Linked DNA regions of Callithrix jacchus. The protein of the gene in region 2 interacts with the protein of the main gene of each other region in a biochemical or structural test. Links are inferred from orthologs where the notes say so. Each region holds a gene or a part of one and is shown on either strand. Other genes may lie near its edges.

Evidence for each region.
Region 1: of the proteins of ARF1 (region 2) and AGAP1, one has a biochemical effect on the other in vitro, tested with the Homo sapiens proteins (2 studies listed by BioGRID, with this or other methods). The link is inferred for Callithrix jacchus from reciprocal best matches to the Homo sapiens genes ARF1 and AGAP1.
Region 3: the proteins of ARF1 (region 2) and PLD2 form a complex in vitro, tested with the Homo sapiens proteins (2 studies listed by BioGRID). The link is inferred for Callithrix jacchus from reciprocal best matches to the Homo sapiens genes ARF1 and PLD2.
Region 4: the proteins of ARF1 (region 2) and CYTH2 are reported together in a solved structure, tested with the Homo sapiens proteins (3 studies listed by BioGRID and IntAct, with this or other methods). The link is inferred for Callithrix jacchus from reciprocal best matches to the Homo sapiens genes ARF1 and CYTH2.
Region 5: the proteins of ARF1 (region 2) and ARFGAP1 form a complex in vitro, tested with the Homo sapiens proteins (2 studies listed by BioGRID, with this or other methods). The link is inferred for Callithrix jacchus from reciprocal best matches to the Homo sapiens genes ARF1 and ARFGAP1.

What each region holds. Positions count from the first base shown.
Region 1 is NC_133507.1:157,044,485-157,047,995, reverse strand, and holds part of AGAP1 (arf-GAP with GTPase, ANK repeat and PH domain-containing protein 1), read right to left. Parts: intron 2,067-3,511; coding exon 1,911-2,066; intron 1-1,910. UniProt on the Homo sapiens protein: GTPase-activating protein for ARF1 and, to a lesser extent, ARF5. Directly and specifically regulates the adapter protein 3 (AP-3)-dependent trafficking of proteins in the endosomal-lysosomal system.
Region 2 is NC_133520.1:38,907,289-38,911,332, reverse strand, and holds the start of ARF1 (ADP-ribosylation factor 1), read right to left. Parts: upstream 2,804-4,044; 5' UTR 2,746-2,803; intron 1-2,745. UniProt on the Homo sapiens protein: Small GTPase involved in protein trafficking between different compartments. Modulates vesicle budding and uncoating within the Golgi complex. In its GTP-bound form, triggers the recruitment of coatomer proteins to the Golgi membrane.
Region 3 is NC_133506.1:106,379,669-106,383,688, reverse strand, and holds the start of PLD2 (phospholipase D2), read right to left. Parts: upstream 2,801-4,020; 5' UTR 2,639-2,800; coding exon 2,589-2,638; intron 2,421-2,588; exon of another isoform or gene 2,403-2,420; coding exon 2,293-2,402; intron 2,191-2,292; coding exon 2,060-2,190; intron 1,902-2,059; coding exon 1,759-1,901; intron 1,095-1,758; coding exon 989-1,094; intron 898-988; coding exon 832-897; intron 702-831; coding exon 643-701; intron 505-642; coding exon 412-504; intron 319-411; coding exon 166-318; intron 1-165.
Region 4 is NC_133523.1:42,358,052-42,361,562, forward strand, and holds the end of CYTH2 (cytohesin-2), read left to right. Parts: intron 1-2,413; coding exon 2,414-2,490; intron 2,491-2,616; coding exon 2,617-2,688; intron 2,689-2,778; coding exon 2,779-2,933; intron 2,934-3,060; coding exon 3,061-3,148; 3' UTR 3,149-3,325; downstream 3,326-3,511. UniProt on the Homo sapiens protein: Acts as a guanine-nucleotide exchange factor (GEF). Promotes guanine-nucleotide exchange on ARF1, ARF3 and ARF6. Activates ARF factors through replacement of GDP with GTP.
Region 5 is NC_133506.1:58,760,967-58,765,272, reverse strand, and holds the start of ARFGAP1 (ADP-ribosylation factor GTPase-activating protein 1), read right to left. Parts: upstream 2,806-4,306; 5' UTR 2,708-2,805; intron 2,516-2,707; exon of another isoform or gene 1,551-2,515; intron 672-1,550; exon of another isoform or gene 468-671; intron 1-467. UniProt on the Homo sapiens protein: GTPase-activating protein (GAP) for the ADP ribosylation factor 1 (ARF1). Involved in membrane trafficking and /or vesicle transport.

The DNA.
Region 1 (3,511 bases), on a different chromosome or scaffold from region 2:
GGGAAGCAGCTATTTATTTAGGTGACTACTGCTGTTCTTGGTGTGTCTGAAGAAACTGTCCAATAAAATATCTTATCCATGTACTAATTTAAGCATGAGAGATACTCACCTGTATTTTGCAGAAACCTATATACCTGCCTCCTCATCTATCGCATATGCCTGACACTACCAGGAATCATTTTATAGTATCAACGGTAGTGAGAAAATAACAAAAGCAATGCCACCAGGTCTCGTCTGTCTCCTCCAGGAAGTCTTCCCGGCAGCCCCAAGTACTATGGTTTCCAGCTGAGAGAGGTCAGGTAATTTGCCTAAGGTCAAACATCCGTCAGCAGTGGAGGCCAGGGTCTGAGCCTGGTCTGTCTGATCAGTCCTCACCCTGCTGCCCAGCACTGGCCTCTGTGGGAGCTGATCTGGCGCAAGACACCCAGCAAAGGCAAGGGGAGGCTGGGGAGGAGGAGGTGTGTGCTGTTGGCAACCACTTCCACAGTCATGAGTACCCAGTGAGAGACTGCCTCGGATATGTGGCAGAGAGACAGGGGATCTCCCAGATGTGGCAGGAACTGTAACATCACATCAAGTTCCTCTTCACAAAGGGGCAGCAAATCAGACTCCCAGTCACCCCTATAGAGTCTTCCTTTAACCCAATAGGACATATTAAGCTTTGCGTCTGGGTCAGCAGTGATCAACCAAAAATGCAAGTCAGATGGTTTAAAACAGGACACCACTGACCCGGGGGCTGGGCATTCCCTGCTGCGAGGGGCCGATCTGCTGATGCTCTGCAGCACCCTTGGTTGATACCCAGGACTAGACGTCCGCAGTACCTTACCTTCCCACTCTCATACTCCTGCGGTAACAGCCCGAAGATTCTCCAGAAACTGCCAAATGTCCTTGGAGAGCAAAACCACCCAGGTTGAGGCCCACTATTTAAAAAGCATATACTAGTCATGCACAGAGGTGATCCAGGGAGAGAGCGTTCTTCTCAAGTCAAAGGGCTTCAGTCACCTGACAGCAGCTATGCCTGGAGTCTGGGGCCCAACTGTGTAGACTCCAGATTGATTGGTAATGTCTGCTGGGCACAGGGGAGAGACAGGATGGTAGCATTTTTGTCTCTTCCGTAGTTCAGGGATTCTTTGCATCTTAATCACCCAGAGAGTTTTTAAGTACTAAACGTGCTGGCTGTGCACTATGGCTGATGCCTGTAATCCCAGCACTTCAGGAGGCCAAGGTGCAAGGATGGCTTGAGCCCAGGAGTTCAAGATTACCCTGGGCAACACAGTAAGACTCCGGCTCTCAAAAAAAAAAATTAGCCACACACAGTGATGCATGCCTGTGGTTCCAGGGACTCAGAAGGCTGAAGTGGGAGGATTTGAGGACTGAACCACTGCACTCCAGTCTAGGCAGACTTCCTTTTTTTCCCCGTCTCAAAAGGGAAAAGAAACCAAGTGGAAAGCCTCATGGCAATGAGCCTCCAGAAGGCATCTCCCCATCCCCCGCCTCCACCAGAGGCACCTCAGCAGCAGCAGAAGAGGGCCTGTGGACTGTAACAGCTTATCATCATCTGAATGGCTAGAGACACACATCTGGGAATCTTGGCAGAGTTTTGCCATCTCTTTGTATCCAGTGTGACATGTCTTTAGCTGGAGCCACAGGGTAACAAGTGCCTTTATACACACCCACAGCTCTTCATTTCTGACATAACAATCTGTACCCGTCCACACCAAGAAACTCCCATTCTACTCGACATCCAAATCTTTGCTTCTCATAATTTTCTCAGCGTTCCACAGAAATCAATGCTATTCCCATTGATATAGTTGAGATTCTACAAATACCACTGAATCACGCAACCAGGTTTATGTTAATGGACACTCTTCAGAATGGCGCTCAAATCTCCACCCAGGGTTGACACTCACGGTGAAAAGGTTGGACCGGCGCTTGGACTGCTTGCGAACGGGCGTGGGCGTGTTGGCACTGGGAGGAACGTCGATCCGAAGCTCCTTCTGGCTGGTGCTGGGAGTCGATGGAACGGAGGAGGAATAGTCGCTTAAACTCCCACCGCCATTACTTGTCTGAAATGATTAAAACCCAAGGTTTTACTAACAACACTCAGGAACCCAAGGTCTCCACTGACGCAAGGTCATAACCAACAAGTTAGCAGGAACCCCACGGAAGGGACACGTGAGATAGGCTGACTTGTGTCTACGGCTTTGCCAGGTCTGTCAGCATCAAGGCTACGGGGCCTCTTCCTGCAATATGCCAATCATCTTTCTCAGTAGTGTCTTCTAAGGAAAGCAACAGAAGAGAAAGAAGTGTCTTTAACTCAGAAGGTTTCTGAGAGTTCAAATTTGATGGTTTCTCTTTCCTCTGAAAATGAAAAGTGTTGCTTCCATGGATTCTACGGTTCCTCCACTGCTCTAGATCAGTAACCACAACCAACATTCTGAAAACGACACTGGGAAAATCTGAGTGCTCTTGAAAAATATTTCAAGACTCACAGAAAATTAAACATAGCAAGTGAAGACATGTTTTTTATTTTGAGACAGGGTCTCACTCTGTCACCCAGGCTGGAGTGCAATGGCCTAATCTTCTCACTGCAGCCTAGATCTTCTCCTGAGCACAGGTGATCCTCCCACCTCAGCCTCCCAAGTACCTGAGACCACAGGTACAGGCCACCACACCCAGCTAATTTTTCTATTTTTTATAGATATGGAAATGTAGTTCTGCCATGTTGCCCAGGCTGGTCTTGAACTACTGAGCTCAAGCAATCTGCTCTCCTTGAGCTCCCAAAAGTGCTGGAATTATGGGCATGTGCCACTCAGCCCAGCCAACATTAACACTCATGACTGTACCTTTCCAGGCTCTGACAACACGTGCCATAATTTACTGGCTTCCCACGCAAACTGAAAGCGTTACACCAAACCTTTTCACCATATCCTTAAAAAAAAAAGTGCCAACGGAATGCCTGCCCAAGAAACATAATCAGAAAGCAAGCACAGGCAAAAACAAAGCCAACTGTTTCCTTAAGAGGTTTTTGGTTTCGGTTCTTCAAAGTGACAATTATTTCATTTGCTTCCAAGTAAATAATTTTGCAAAATGTTGTTATGGAAAGAGAGTGGTGCCTATGGGACCTGAGGGAGATGGTAATTACAACGGAATGCCGCTACCAAATTTAAAGATAAAGCGAGATTGGCCATTAAGATTCACTCAGAACTGTTCAACCTATGAGCAGACGAGGACCATGACCAGAGCAGGGTGGTTTAAATCACCAGCGAGGACCGCAGCACACACCTCCCGCCACCCCTGGGCCAGCATGCCTCATAACACAGGCAGCATGAAGACGAAAACATTAAAGAATGATTCCCATAAAAATCAGTTGGCCACAGCAGTTTCTGAAGAAAATGTTAAGTCAATTACAACATGCTGTTACTTATAAAGTTGAAAAGAAAAAAAAAGTTTAATCTTAGCATTGGCTGGGAACGCTGTCTGCACGTTCTCTTTGCTGCTAAGGTGTCTT
Region 2 (4,044 bases):
TGTATGTTGGCTGACAACCGGCTGCAAGCCCTTGTTACCACTTTATAAGAACCAGGAAACCAAGACTGGTCAAGCACATAATGGCTAATCAGCCAGCCTCACTGTCTCTGCATCCCTGTAGGAGACTGAGACAGGACCCTGGGGGAGGACCTGAGAGCTTCCTGGCAACAAAGAGCATCCAGGACACGTCTGTCAAGTTGCTAACAAGGTCATCTGACCCACCTGAGAATGTGAAAGTACCTTCCAAGACAGTGAGGTGGCTGCACAGCTGTAAAGCGATGAGTGCAACTTTGCCTTAGAGAGTTTACAACCACCACAAGAGGATGGGAACCTGAGGATGAAGACAAGTCCAGGAATCCCAACATGAAGAGGCCAAACCTTTTGCAAAAGACCACTTCAGACACTATGGGCAGGATACCCCTACCAACCATCCACGCCAATGAGCACGCACAACACAGAAAACAAAGTCGTCATAATTTAAGACCCTACTGCAAGGCCTTTTCATGTTTCTCTCCCAATTACCTCTGACAGTGCACTCTATTTCCTTTCACCCTCGAATTTATGAAGGTGAAAGGTCAAGGGGACAGAATGCTTATGAGAAACAGCATGGACCTGCCAGCCCAAGAGGCTGGCTTCAGCCTCTTGCTCAGGAGAATGGTCACAGCTCATGAATAAGTGTGTAGAAAAGCTTGGTGCGCCTGGCCTGTGAGTAAGAGCAAGCTTAAATCCACACACCAAGGAGACATTTAATTTGGAGAATCTAAAAAGAAATGTTCAACTCTCTGAAACCAGTCGTATACTACTCCGCAGGAACTTGCACAACACGTTTTTTTCTCTTGGTTTAGGTCTACTTCTGTGATAACCGCAGCAGCTGACAGTCCACATTAAAGTTTACTGAAGTGAAAAAGGAAAGGCCAAATGCACCTTCCTATAGTAGTTTCAAGTCTGTCCGGTCCGTAGGGGCAGATTAGCAGGTGAAGGAAGATGTCTGAATGTCCTCTCCATATTGTGCAAGAGGTACAGCGCATAGCTAGACCACATGATGTACAAAACCAGAACTGTGAGGAGCACAGAACCAGTTTTTGCTTTTCACTCACAGTCATTGTGTGACTCAGCTGTTGTCCAAACCAACTGTTTCAAATCTTTTTCAACTGGTAAATCTGAACATCTGCCTCACAGGCAACAACAGATTCCTACTGCAGTGGTTTGGATTTATTTTCAACAAGATACACCCGAAAAGCAGTGACAGATATTCTCCGGTCTACCAACACGTGGTAACGTGGACAACAGACTTCTAACAATGTGGCCAATCAAATGTGTGACTAACATTTACACTACTCAATTCCTCTCAACTTTGGACCCAGATAGTAATACTGCATTTCGGGACTTTCTGGCTACCGTGGCAGTGCTACCGAAAATGCAAACTAAGTCAGAACACCATCCATGCAGTCACAAGTGTTAGAAAATGGCTATCGCCACGGCAGAGGGCCACAGGGGCCACACAACAAACTGGACCGCGGCATCTCACAATCCTCCCAAACACACCGCGGAAAACGCCAGAACCACCAGCCTTGCAACAGCCGGCAAAAAAACTGCTGACCCCTAGTTCTGAAACGAGAACTACAACTGCCCCTCCAACAGGGGCAGTGCACCAACTCCACAGCTATCAACTCGGGGACCACCCAAAGCCTCCGGCCGCCCTTCTTTCCTGCCCGCGATTCCGGGTGCATTTCTGCTCATTTCCTGCAAAGCAGCAACGGGCTGCCTGGACAGAAAGCGAGAGCGCCAGGAGGTGCCGTCGGAACGGTGACCTAACACCAGGTGCGCACGGCTGTCCAGCCCAGCCTCACCCCGGAACCACGCAGGCTGTGCCCGGCCTCCGCGGCCCCGAGTCTGCGAGCAGGTCGTTCCGCGGGCAGGTTAAAGATTCACCAGCTCAGAAGAGGCTTCTTATCATCCACCGCCGCCAAGGCACCACCCTGGGGTTAAAGCAAAGATCCACCGGCCCCTCTGGAAGCCACGGGTCTCACGGGTGTGAAGGGAGGCACTCCGGACTCCCCCGGAAGTCCACGCAGCCGGAGCCGGGCGCGGGGTCCCCATCCACCTGCCCGCCCGCTCTCACCGCCCCCCAGCCGGTGCCGCCCTCAGAGCAAACACCAACTGGATGGAGTGGGGAGGCGGAGATGCAAGCCCCCACCACCAACGTGACCTTGACGGCGCCTGGGGCCGTCCGAGCCTCAGTTTCCCGGTCCCTGAGGCAGGGGTCCGCCCGGATGCCACCCGCTCGCCCGTGCTCGGGTGGGGGAGGCCCCACGGCCCCTACCGGCCCCCGCGGCCTCTAACCCCAACTCTCCACGCGCGAGCGGCTTCGAGAGACGAAAAGGGCAGATGTGAGGGAAGCAGGAAGCCCAGGCTTCCTGGAGAAGAGCCCGGAGTCCCGGCGGACTTCCGGGCCGAGGGCGCGGGCAGGGACGGGCAGAGGAAGACACGGGGCCGCGAGCGACGTCGGGAATCTGTGAGGGGCGCGAAGGGCCCACCGACCCGCCTGCCGGCCCAGCCCCGACCCCGGCCAGGCCCCAGCCTCAGCCCGGCCCGTCCTCGTCCGCCCCCGGCACGGCCCTATCGCCGCCGCCGCGGGGGTCGAGGTGCTCTTCGCGAACCTCAAGTCGCCCCGAAGCCAGTCCCCTGCCCCCGCCGGCTCCTACTTGCCCGCGGCCCACACGGTCCCGGGCCCCTCGCCCTCACCTCAGCGGCTGCTGCTCCGAGCCAGGCGTTGGTTTCGCTCCCACAAGATGGCGGCTCTGACGGCGGCCACGTCAGCGCCTGCGGACGCAGAGCACGCCGGGTAAGGGGCGGAGACACAGGGAACTCCTCCCACCGCTCGCCCGCGGAGCAGGCGCGCTGACTCCAGGAGGGCTGCAGGGGGCGGGGAAGGGGGCGGGGAAAGGGACGCCCCGCCCCGGGCCGCGGTCCCCGCGCGCGCGCGCGCCCAGGAGAGGGCGAGCGCACCCGTCTGCGCCTGCGCCTGCGCCTGTGTGTTTCCGAGAAGACACCATGTGGCTCCCTCCCGCCCGTTTCACAGATTCGGTGACTGAGGTCCGGGCTGCTGCTGCAGGAACTAGAGCGGCGGGGCCGGGTTGACACCCTCCTCCTTCCCGGCGCGGCAGTCACCGCGAGCCCGCAGGGGCCGCGTAAGGACGTGGGTGTGAGGTGCCCCTCGCCGGGGTTGGGGTTCCTAGCCCCCAGGCTGCGCGGAGTCGCGAGCCCCGGCCCTGTGGAAACCTGTGGCACTCGCGGGTCCACGACTGAACGTCCGAAGGCGGGAGGCCTGCTGTGTCCCCCACTGGCCTCGGCGCCCCGACGGCCGCAGTGACTCGAGCGGGGTCACGCCTGGGCCAGGAGCAGACCCCGGGGAGCCGGCCACGGGTGAAGCAAAGGAGGAGGTGGCCTGGAAACCCGCGGGGGAAACGGGGCCGTGGGGGTGGGGCCCAGGGTCGAGGACGGCTGCCCAGAGGGGATGTCGCACGGCCTCTGATGAGCTGGCCTTTCCGCTGAGATCCAGCCTGAGGCGGAGGAGCCCTGGTTGTCAGGGACCCCTCCTGGACCGGTCGGAAGGGAACATGGACCGGTGCAGCCTCTCTGTTCCGCGCGCTGGAGGCCTGGCTGTGCCCACCACCCCCGGGTTTCTTCCCTCTTCCCTTGTGCGGCTGTGGGGTTGGGCTTGCTAGGAGGGCGTCCGTGCAGTACAGTGTCCTGGGTATTGTGGAGGTCGGGAAGCATCCTGATTCGTCCAGGCCGAGGCCTCCCGCGTCCCTCCGCTGTCCCCGTTACCCACCTACCTTCCTGGCCCCTTGGGCAGGGCATCCTCACTGCCTCTGGAGGCTGCGATGGCCGGAGTCTCCACTGGGGCTGCACCTGGGGAGGCTGCAAAGGTCCCCAGAAGCGATGACCCTCCTGCCCCCCAAATTCAGTCCTTTTCTCTGCCTGGGGCTCCCGTCTGAAGTCTCACCTCTGTGAAGCTGCAGCAGAGCTGTCTATGTAGAA
Region 3 (4,020 bases), on a different chromosome or scaffold from region 2:
GAACTCCTGACCTTGTGATCTGCCCGCCTCGGCCTCCCAAAGTGCTGGGATTATAGGCGTGAGCCACCACGCCCTGCCTCCTGTAGTATCTCTTACTGAAGTCCAGGCAGGGCTGTGGGCTGGCTCACCACTCACCAGCTGTCTCTCACACCAGGGAGGCCTTACCTGTGAGAGGTATCGATCCGCACACCGTACCGTGCCTCCGTGCTCCGTTTCCCCACCTGCACCTCAAAGCCAGGGTCAAAGAGCTGAACAAATGAGATGGTGCCCGTCTCGAGGCACATGTACAGCAGGAAGGAATCCTTCACCACCAGCCACCTAGAGCAGAAGGGCTCCCTGTGTTCCTCTCTGCCCTTGCAATTTCCTTTTTCACCCCTACCCACTGCCCAGCTGCTCGGCCACAGCCCATACCTCTTGGACCAGCGATAACAAACTTGGTCTCGGCCACAGCAGGTGAGGCCAGGAACTCGGTGGCCACCTGAGCGCTTCCGGATCATCCCCTCCCTGTGGGACAATCAGGAAGAGATGGTGGATGAGGACTCCAGACTGCCAGCCCACCTTGCACGGCTTGCCCATTCTCAGACAGGGAGAAATTAACAGTGATGTCTGCGGATGGCTGGGTGAAGGGTGCCAGACACTCACAGTCCTTTGCAGCCCAGGTCTGGGATAAAAGACAGCTGACTGACTTCCAGGAACTCTGTCTGTAGAGAAAAACAAAAGGCCAGAGGAGACACCTGGCTGTCAGCCCCTCAGACCTTGGGGCCCCTGGCTCTCTCCCGCTGCAGGTCTGATTATCCTGCTCCACATCTAAAATCGGTCCCTGGACCTTACCAGGGCATGGTAGTTGCGATAGAAAGACATGGTCAAGAGGCGGTTGAGGTAATTCTCCAGGTATTTCTGAAGTGGGGATGAGAGAGAGAGAGAAAGATGAGACCAGAGCCATTTGCACCTCTAGTGCCTTCCCAGAGAACCTGGTGTCTGGTCCCACCTGTTTGCTGGCTGCATGTCTGGTGGAGCCCTCAGGACCTGCTCGGGGTAGAGAGGGAATCTCTCTGTTGGCTGCCTCTCGGGCTGGAGAATAGGCAACGGCAAAACTGTGGTAAGGATAGATGAGGGTCAGGTATGTGCTGGGAGGCTGGGTGCTCCGGTTCTTGAAAACACTGGAGATGGGGGCTTGGAGGAAAAGAAGAGGCCTGGAGGTGGCCAGGGGTGGTGGCTCATGCCTGTAATCCCAGCACTTGAGGAGGCCAAGGTGGGTAGATCACTTGAGCTCAGGAATTTGAGACTAGCCTGGCAACATAGTGGAACCCCATCTCTACAAAATATGCAAAAATTAGCTGGGTGTGGTGGCTGTGGTCCCAGCTACTCGGGAGGCTGAGGTGGAAGGATCGCTTGAGCCCAGGAAGTTGCAGTGAGCCAAGATCATACCACTGAATTCTAGCCTGGGTGACAGGACACCTTGTCAAAAACAAAAAGGCCTAGAGGCTGGCAAAAGGAAGGCCCCCTACCCTGGGAATGGAGACTAGAAAAGGGTGAGGCTGCCAAGGACATTTTGGGCATCCAGCCTGGCTGAGATGCTGGCACAGAACCATGGACAGGGAAAGTTTCCTGGTAACTGGGGTCAGGGGAGGTGGCCCAGTGGCCAGAGCCACTGCAGGGAGGAAAGGCTGTGGCCGGAGGGCAGGGGAGGAGGGCAGACACAGGAAGGAGGGTGGGGGGGGCACCTGCCCTCTACAGGAAGCAGTTCGGCCCCCTCACCGAGCCAGGGGGAGCAGACTCATCAAGACTTTGTGTCTCAGGAGGTCCCGATGCAGCTCCTGAAAATGACGGAACTTCTTCTTGGTTGTCCAGGTAAAGTCGCCGTGAGTCAAGCGGACAGAATACAGAGTGCAGGTTCCCACCTAGGGGTGTGACAAACTGAATGGATGTTCCCTGCATGTGTCCCTGCCTCCCCACTCTGGCCAGCCTTCCCTTTCCCCCTCCCTGGGGCCAGCTGAGACACCTTGGATCCACCCTGGCCCGCCCTCCCTTTCCCCTTCCCTGGGGCCAGTCTGGCCACCTTGGATCCGCTGGTATATCTTTCAGTGCCCACCACCTGGGCTGTGACAGGGACCCCAGTTGCAAACACCAAGGGATGCACTTTCAGAGGCTGAAGATCATAGATGGCCAGAAACGGGTGCATCCGGTCGGCTGGGAGGAAAGAAAGTCAAGGAGTGCAGACCCCAGTAGGCCCCAGCCCGCGGGCCCCGCCCCGCCTCTTCGCCCTGCAGGTCATCCATATTCCCTGTGTACCTGGGTCCTCTCCCTCTCTCAGAGTGTTCACCTCATCGGACTCCATCTGGAGCTGGCTGGAGTCTAGGTCGCCCCCAGTGGGGAAGAGGCTCTCAGGGGTCGCCGTCATCCTGGGAATATGGGGAAGCCTAAGGGAGGCAAGCTGCCCTGCAGAACCCGCCCCGCTATCCTAAATCTCGCAGCCCTCCCTCTGTTGCAGGTCCTCCCCTTCCCCCACGGACTCCTGACCACCCCTCTGACGACGCCTGGCCAGTTTGCAACGCCCCACCGACCCCCTTCTGGGCTCCATTCCCTACCTTAATCCCTCATCCGCAATCCCAGTCCCAGTCCCGAGCCCCCGCCCCATCCCGTAACCAGAGCCCCGGGGAACACCCAGCCAGGCCCGGAAGGCTCCGACTTGGGGCCGCGCAGCAGCTGTGCCGGGAAGCGGCCCCGGGTGCTCGAGAGAGCGCGGAGCTGCGGCGCTCACGCCAGGCAGGGGAGCCGGGGCAGGGGTCCAGGCGGGAATGAGGAAGTTACGCGATCCCCGCCGAGGGCGGGGAGCAACCCCGAAATCTGAGTGTGAAGCTGAGTGTGGAGGCCCCGCAGCCCGAGCCCGTTCCCTCCCCCCACGATTTCCTGGGCCCGGCACCCCTGCGCGCCCCTTCACGGCCCCTCACCCTGGCAGTCGGAGCGGGCGCCCGCGCGGGTTCCCGAAGCCAGGAGAGCAGAGCGGAGTAGCAGCTGGAGCCCACGCCCCAGCGGGCCGGGGCGGGGCCGGGGCTCAGGGCCTGCCCTCGGGGGCGGGACGGCCCCCGGCCTCACCTCCGCGGGATTCTCGTCTGTCCTGTCCCGCCCCCGCCGCCCTCGACCCGCCCCGTCGCCCCGCGTGCCGCCGGGAGCCCGGGGGCCGCCCTGTGCCCTGCGGGCCCGCACGATCCCCTCGGTGCGGCTGGCAAGTGCTGCCCGGCGTCGGGGCGTCCAGTGTTGTCGGTCCCAGCGTGCCCGGCCGCCGCCTCCCAGGACCCACTCTGCGCGCATCCCTCCGCTCGGTGCCAGTCCCGGGACCCTCTAGCCGCGGACGCTGCCTGGGTCCCGGGGGACGCGCCTCCGCTGCAGGAGCTGGCGATGGGTGCCCCACTCCCGAGCCCGCTGCGAGCCACGTTCGGCCTAGCCCGGATAGCGTTTGTACCTGGAAGGCATGAGGGCGTAAAAGGCCCGAGGGCTGGTGGCTATAAACCCATTAGTGAATGAGAGCGGGCATTCTTTCATTCATTCACCAAACATTTATTGCGTGCTTACTCCGTGCCAGACACTGAGAGTAAGGTAGTATATAAGATGGTTATGGAGCTTGCTTCGCTGGAATTGGCAGTCTAAGGGGAAACAAAATCTCTTCGGGTATTTCAATCTTTTTTAAAAGCCGATTTATTTGTCTCTTCTTTTGATAGACAAATGGGTTTCTAGTTTTGTCCGTTGTCAATAAAGCGCTTGCAGGCCGAGGTGGCTCACAGCTGTAATCCCAGCACTTTGGGAGCCAAAGCAGGCGGATCACGAGGTCAGGAGTTCGAGAGCAGCCTGGCCAACATAGTAAAACCTCGTCTCTACTTTAAAAATACAAAAATTAGCCGGGCATGGTGGCGCACGCCTGTAGTCCCAGCTACTTTGGAGCCTGAGGCAGGAGAATTGCATGAACCCAGGAGGCAGAGGTTGCAGTGAGCAGAGATTGTGCCACTGCACTCCAGCCTGGGT
Region 4 (3,511 bases), on a different chromosome or scaffold from region 2:
CTGCTCCAGAGAGACGGATCTGAGAAGTACCATCCGCTGCAACAATGGAGGCTTCCCGGGACAGCAGGAGAACTCAGAGGAAGCTTCCAGCTCAGGGAAGGGCATCAAGGCCAGGCTTCTTGGAAGGAGGACTGGACAAGGCTGCTTCGGCCTCTGCCTCTTGGGGGACTCCCCATGTGGAACTGTGCTTTTTTTTTTTTTTTTTTTTTTTTGGGGGACAGAGTCTCACTCTCGCCCAGGCTGGAGTGCAGTGACTTGATCACGGCTCACTGCAACCTCTCCCTCCCAGGTTCAAGTGATTCTCCTGCCTCAGCCTCCTGAGTAGTTGGGATTACAGGCATGCACCACCATGCTGGGCTGATTTTTGTGTTTTTTTTTTTTTAGTAGAAACGGGGGTTTTACCACGTTTGTCACACTGGTCTCTAACTTGTGACCCACCTTGGCCTCCCAAAGTGCCGGTATTATAGGTGTGAGCCACTGCACCTGGCCTGAACTGTGCTATTAAACCGGGGCGTCGCCACCTCAGCAGATGCCAGGGTTTCCTGGTAAATGTAAAATATGCAAGTCAGGCTGGGCGCAGTGGCCCACTCCTGCAATTTCAGCACTTTGGGAGGCCAAGACAGGAGGATTGCTAGAGGCCAGGACTTTGAGACCAACCTGGGCAATAATATAGTGAGACCCCCATCTCTACAAAAAAAACATTAGCCAGGCCTGGTGGCGCAGGAGGATTGCTTGAGCCCGAGTGGTCAAGACTGCAGTGAGTCGTGATTGTGCGGCTGCACCTCGGCCTGGGCGGCAGAAGACCCCATCTCTCTCAAATAAAAATACATGCAAATCACTGTTCAGCCAACCCCAGTCCCCATCTTGTATTGGATCCAAGGAAGGCAGGCGGTGCTGGGGGAAATTGACAGTCCTCGAGGTGCCCTGGCAGTGAGCAGGCTAGAAAGAGAAGCAGGAAGGCGCCAGCCTCACAAGGAGCTGCTTCCCTCAAAACTGCTCCTGTGCCAGTCGCAGTGGCTCACGCCTCTAATCCCAGCACTTTGGGAGGCCAAAGCAGGTGATTCAGGAGGTCAAGAGATCGAGACCATCCTGGCCAACATAGTGAAACCCTGTCTACAAAAATTAGCCTGGCGTGGTGGCGCACGCCTGTAGTCCCGGCTACTTAGGAGGCTGAGGCAGGAGAATTGCTTGAACCCAGGAGGTGGGTGGAGGTAGCAGTGATCCGAGTTCATGCTGTTGCACTCCAGCCTGGGCAACAAGAGTGAAACTCCGTCTCAAAAAAAAATACTCCGTCAGCAGCAACCTTTCCCATTTCCCAGATAAGGAAATTGAGGCTCACTTTTCATTTTGGCTCTGGGCCTCATCTAAGGCTGCCCAGCCCCAGGGACATTTCTGGCCAGAGAGCCTCTGTTCCCGTTATGCCAGTTGAGAGGGGCATCCCTTCCTTAAAGGTGGCAGTGCAGGAGTGGAGATGGGCGGCCGCAGTTTCTACTTCATGGCTAATAAAAGCCATTATGACTTTCACTGTTTAACCCTGGGCCCATGAGGAAGCCAGAAGTGGGTCCTTTTGCCACAGGAAGGTGTGGGCCCAAGTGAGTCTCCAGGCTGGAGTCCAGAGAGGCCAAGAGAGTGTCCTGAGGTCACACAGCCAGTTTGTGCAGGAGCTGAGATGGGCCCCCACACCCACCTCAGACCAAAGACTGGGGTTTTTGCCTCCTCCCACCTACAGGGGAGAGGCACTTTCACCATGTCAAGGGAGGACTCTCCTGGCCTGGGACAGACCTTAGTGGGTGGGCTGGGGCCCTCTGCCCATGCAAGGGGTTTTCCAGGCCTCCACCTGGGGCTCAGGGCCCTTGGCCTCTCTGGGAGGGAGGGGCCCCGGCCATCTGCCCCTCATGTGGATGTAACTGGTTTTCTTCCCTCTCTCTCCCTCCCCTCCCTCTGCGTGTTTCTCTGTCTCCTGTTTGCCTCTCTGCCCCGCCCCCTGCACATCCCGCCCCGCACCCACCCTATTTCTGTCGCCTGCGGCTCTTGGGGTGCTCCGCTCTCCCGCCTTCCCTTCTCCTGCACCTGGTCCTGCCTGCTTTCTCGCTGTCTGCCCCAGGAGGTAGGTACACGATCTGTCCTTGTCCCCCATCACTAGAGAGGGGAGGGGGCTGCCCTGGCCTCCGGCCCACAGCAGGGGGGACTGACAAACTTAGAAAAGTGAAGCCCCAAGCTGGGGGTGGACGATTCCTGGAGCCCCAACACGCCTGTCCCTGCTTGTCTGTCTCCCCCTACACAGCGGCTTTATCCTAGGCCACAGGAGCCCCGCCTCTCCCACTCTTGCTTTGCCTCTTACGCCCCTCCCACCTCCCAGAGGCCCTGTCCCCCTCCGTTGAGCCCAGGCCCCCTCCCACCCCTTCCCTTTCAGGGGGCCGGGTGAAGACGTGGAAGCGGCGTTGGTTTATCCTCACAGACAACTGCCTCTACTACTTTGAGTACACGACGGTGAGGGTGACCTGGGCTGGGCTCTGGGGTCCTGGGAGGAGGGTCTGGGAGCCTGGACTCGGGCTGAGAGAGGCAGAGTGGGGTGAGGATTTGGAAGTCTGAGTTCCATCCAACTTGCTTCTTCAGGACAAGGAGCCCCGAGGAATCATCCCCCTGGAAAATCTGAGCATCCGAGAGGTGGATGACCCCCGGAAACCGGTGAGATCCTCTCTGTACACCTTCCTGCCGGGGTGCGCCACCTCTGCCCAGGGCTGGCTCTCACCTTTGCCCTTCCCCTGTCATCCCCAGAACTGCTTTGAGCTTTACATCCCCAACAACAAGGGGCAGCTCATCAAAGCCTGCAAAACCGAGGCGGATGGCCGGGTGGTAGAGGGGAACCACATGGTATACCGGATCTCAGCCCCAACGCAGGAGGAGAAGGATGAGTGGATCAAGTCCATTGAGTGAGCCTGGAGCCCTGGGTGTGAGGGAGAAGGGGCTGGCCAGGGCCTGGACCCCTGGGTGTGAGGGAGGAGGGGCTGGGGGCCTGGACTCCTTGGCCCTCATCCTGGGATCCCTTCCCATCTTCAGGGCAGCTGTGAGTGTGGACCCCTTCTATGAGATGCTGGCAGCGAGAAAGAAGCGGATTTCAGTCAAGAAGAAGCAGGAGCAGCCCTGACCTCCCGCCCCCAACTCCATTATTTATTGCAGAGCTGCCCCGCCTGGGTGGCCGGACCCCTGGGCCTTGGGGCTGTGAATCCTGGTTCCCTGTTTGGAAAATTCACCACCTCTAGCTCCTCTCTGTTCTTTGTAATTAACACACTGTTGGTAATCTTATTAATTATTTAACCACTCAGCCTGCTGATCCCCTCATTTCTTGGGGTTGACAGAGCTGAGGCGCTTGGTGGAGGCAGCCTGTTTCCCCCGGACAGTGGCCTGGACCCGCCTGTCTCTGGGCGCTTGCTTGGTGTGGCCCCCAGGGCCTGTCCCGGGTGGGTCTGTTCTGTTTCATCCGGAGCCCAGCAGGAGTGGAGTAAAGGGT
Region 5 (4,306 bases), on a different chromosome or scaffold from region 2:
AGAAGCAGTGCCCTTGCCCACAGTGTGGGAACAGCTGGCCTGCTGGGGGACCTGCAGGTGGGTCCTTCTGGGGCCATTCCGAGTCCTGGGGGGGGCAGCAGTGTGGCTGCAGCAGGACAGAGAGAGTGGCTTCGGACCATCAGCCCCGCCGCGGTGGCTCACAGGGACCCTAGTGGGATAGCAGCAACCAGGCTCGGGCTGAAGAGAAAACCTGCGGATGTCTCTGCAGCTCTCCTAACTACAAAGCACAACTTCCGCTGGTGGCCCATCCAATTCAGGGCCGGGAAAACCGATACAGCTGAGATTCAAAGCTGGAGGAAGGAGTGGAACCAACCCCAGTGTCCAACGAGAATGACCCAGTGGCCCCGAATACACCCCCAATGGGCAGGCTGCAGAGACAGTCCAGCCTGGAGGAAGCAGGCTTGCACCCCGCGCGCCCACGCCTCACTGCGCTGAGCCTCACCCACCTCTCAATAAGAACGGAGCTGTGTGCTGTTCCCTCTACCTCACTACACAGAGAACACACAGCGCTCTGTAAGCCACAGGAAACTACACGTGTGCACGGCTGCCCTTTCCAGCGCCAGCCCTTTCCTCCTCCACTGTATTTAAGAGGACTGTGTAGACCAGCTTTCCTACTCACGGTGTAGGTGGAAATTTATGTTGAGGTGAAGCTTAAAAAAAGAAAAAAAGAAAAATCTCTGTCCTATATTTCATTTCTCATCATAAGTATGCAGAAACAAGGTATTCACTGGGAGGGGGGAGTGTCCCAACTCTCCACACGGTCAAAGTTCCTGAATTCTGAAGCCCATGACTCCTAGTATTCACCAGCACCTACTTTAAACCCACTCAAAGTCAGGAAATAAATATGTTTTCTGCAGTTCATCAAAACAAAGCCAAAAGTTCACCCTGGGCTGACTTCTACTCCGTAATGCTCTGTGCCTGGTGTGAGAGCGCCCAGGAACCAGAGCATGAGGCAGGTCTGAAAGCTTACTCCCGACCGCATAGACTTGGATCCCAGCATGACTCATTCAGGCGAAACTGTCATCAAACTGAGCTTCCACCCGAACACAGCACTGAAGATGGAAAGGGGCTAAGCCAGGTTGGAGAGGTCCTGGCACCAAGGGTAGCGGGGCTGAGCTTATAAGGCCGTTGGGACACATTCTTCTCACGGCAGGCACACGCAGAAGCCGGCCCATGCAGAGGAGGTGAGCCACCAGAGCAGGACGAGGCCGCTCTGGGTCTCCACACTCGCTCCTTCCCACAGCACCAGGCCTGCTCTCAGGGGCTCATGTATTGGCCAACAGACACGGGCACACAAAAGTCAGAACCATGAGACGCTCCTTCAATTTCTAACTGTAAAATACACAGGATACTCACAGGACTACTGCAGGGAGAAAATGTGCAAAAAATAAAGGACTTCCCTTGGATTTAAAAGTAACTCCTCTATGTGACTAATTTTGGGTATTCACGAGCCCCAGTTACCTGAAATGTTAAAGTTAATAACACAAAAACAAATACCTCCTAACCTTCAAAAGCCCAATATGGTTTACCTTGAAAAATAATCCAGGAACTCTTAACACCTGAACCAAGATGTAAAACTATCCCTCCTCCTGCAAGTGCACATAACTTCAGTAAACATCAAACCCAGCGAGGACACTTTGTATTAGTTCGGAAGCCACTGAGACTTCAAAACTCAGGATCCGTTAAGCTGGAACACTCGCAATAGGTGAGGTCAAAAGGGATGCTTAAGAACACTGCTCAAGCCCTAGGGCTGTGACACAGTGACAGGCAGAAATGCTGAGTCTGAAGCACCTAAGGACCCACGTCTAAGAACAGCAGCCCCTTCTCCTAAAGAACAGACAACTTCTCAACTCTGAGAGGGATGCGGCCCCAGAAAGGGATGCCTAAACAAAGCTAACAGCTTCGATGCCCTGGGTCACTTTAGAGCCAAACTTTGCTGTTAAAATTAACAGAGCGTGGCAGGAATATTAATCAGACCTGCAAAAAATGAGCAGAGTTACTTCTTAGAACTGGTGGCCTGTAATTAAGGCGTTTAAAAGAACAGACACGAAGCATAGTTCTTCCAAACCCACAGAAAGTGAAAACAGTTTTAAAAGCCCCTTCCTGGTTTCTTCTCTCTCCCTTAAGACAGGCAGCCACGTCAAAGGGTAAAGAGGAAACCACGCGAGCTGAGGCTGCCGTTTCTGACGACAGTGGGCTCACCAACACCCCACTTCTGATGACACCGGGCAGAACCCTCACTCCTTAAGGGGTGGAAGCCCAGGCCCAGTCCTGGGTCCTAAGGAGCTCGGGAAGAGGGGGTTGAAGGGGACAGGGCAGGGTCCTGCTCGCGCCCTAAGCGGGCAGGGATCCTCTGGACTCGCGTAACCGGTGGGGGATTCCAGATCCGGGGTGCGGGTGGAGGGCAGCTTCGGAGGGAAGAGGGCGCGGGGGACTCGGGGCGGCACCGGGGAGAGGCGGCTGCAGCGGGGCGTCCGCGCGAGGAGGACCAGCCGCCCAGCGCCGAACGGACCGGGGGACCGCGGAGTGGGCGCCGCCAAGCTCTGGGCAGCAGCCTCGGGGCTGAGCGGGGTCCGGGCGGGGGCGGCCGTGGGGGGGAGGTCTGCCCGCGAACGCCGGGGCCAACGCCGCGGGAGCCGGGGCCTCAGGCCGAGCCCGCGCCCGCGCCGCCAAGCCGCGCGCTTACCTGGCAGGAGGCGGACAGGGCCGCGGGGTCAGGCCAGAGCCGGGGTCGAGCCGCCGCACTGTAACGGGGACGCGCCCGGGCGCCCACAAGCCGCCACCAACTTCCGGCTACGTCACGCTCGCAAGGTCTCGCGGGAGCCGGCGGGGCGGGACTTCCGCCTCAGGCCCCAGCCTTCGAGGCGCGCAGCCGCCCGGTCGCCATAGAGACGCGCAGACGCGCCGTCCATCCCCTCCCTGGGCCCCGGAGCGCAGCTGGTAGCTGTGGCCGTGGGGGAGGCCAGGCGGGAGATGAGTCCGTGCGTCCGCGAAAGAAAGCTGGGGTGGTTCCGGGGTGGCGCGTTCACCGGGGCCGACAACGAGGGAGGGGCGAGTAGGGGCCTGGAGCGGGGGCTCTGGGGAGGGGGCAGCAGGGGAACGGGGGTAGGAGGACCAGGGGCAGCGGGCGACAGGCAGGGAGGCGAGGGCCACGGGCAGTGGGTAGCAGGGGACGGGGGACTGGCATGGGGGTGGGGGTGCGTCCTGGGGCCCGTGCTCCCGCACTTGGGTCTGAGTCTCCCACCAGCCGAGCCTTTGGGCCCTGGCGGGAGGCGGCGGCGTTGAAAGGACCGCGGTCCCCCGCCCCTGCCACGCAGATGCCCCAGGGCGCGGGTGTGCAGTGATGGGACCCGAGTCTGCATTAGGAAGGTGCAAAGCCGGAAAAGCGGTCACCCGTGGGAGGTTAATTGCAGGTAATTTTTTGTTTTGTTTTTGTGCTTTTCTGTGCATTTCACATATTTCTCCTTGATTTGGCTGACCTTTGAAATGATGGAGAATAAACATTTGTATTGTGGTATAAGCTGCAACACCGAAAAACGTACAGGTCAAGGAGTTTTGACAAATGCATATCCCCAGGTAACATCTACCCTGGTCAGTTATAGATATTCCCAACAGAGGCAGCCACTCTTCTGATTCCAACATCTCCATGTCTTAGTTTTGCCTGTTCTGGAATATCACACAAATAGAGTCGTGCAAAATACACTTTGGTGGTGCTTCTTTCCCTTAACACGAGGTTCTGAGATTCAGCCACGTCGCACGCATCGTAACTGGTTCCTTTTTATTGCCAAGTAGCACGCCATGGAAAATACGTCACATTCCTTCATTCGTTCACACTTTGGACACTGGGGTCGTTTCTATGTTTTGGTTAGTATGAATAAAGCTGTCTTGAAAGGGCTTTTTGTAGCATATTTTTTCTTCCTCTTGAGTAATTACCTAGAAGTGAAATTTCTGGGTGTTGGATGTGTATGGAACGTTATTAAAACATGCTAAGTGGCCAGATGTGGTGGCTCACACCTGTGATCCCAACACTTTGGGAGGCTGAGGCAGGCGGGTCACCTGAGGTCAGGAGTTCAAGACCAGCCTGGACAACATGGCAAAACCCTGTCTACTAAAAATACAAAAATTAGCTGGGGGTAGTGGCACATGCCTATAATCCCAGCTTCTCAGGAGGCTGAAGCAAGATAATTGCTTGAACCCAGGAGTCAGAGGTTGCAGTGAGCCGAGATCGTATCCCTGCACTCCAGCCTGGGCCACAGAGCAAGACTGAAAGAAAAAGTGCTAAGCG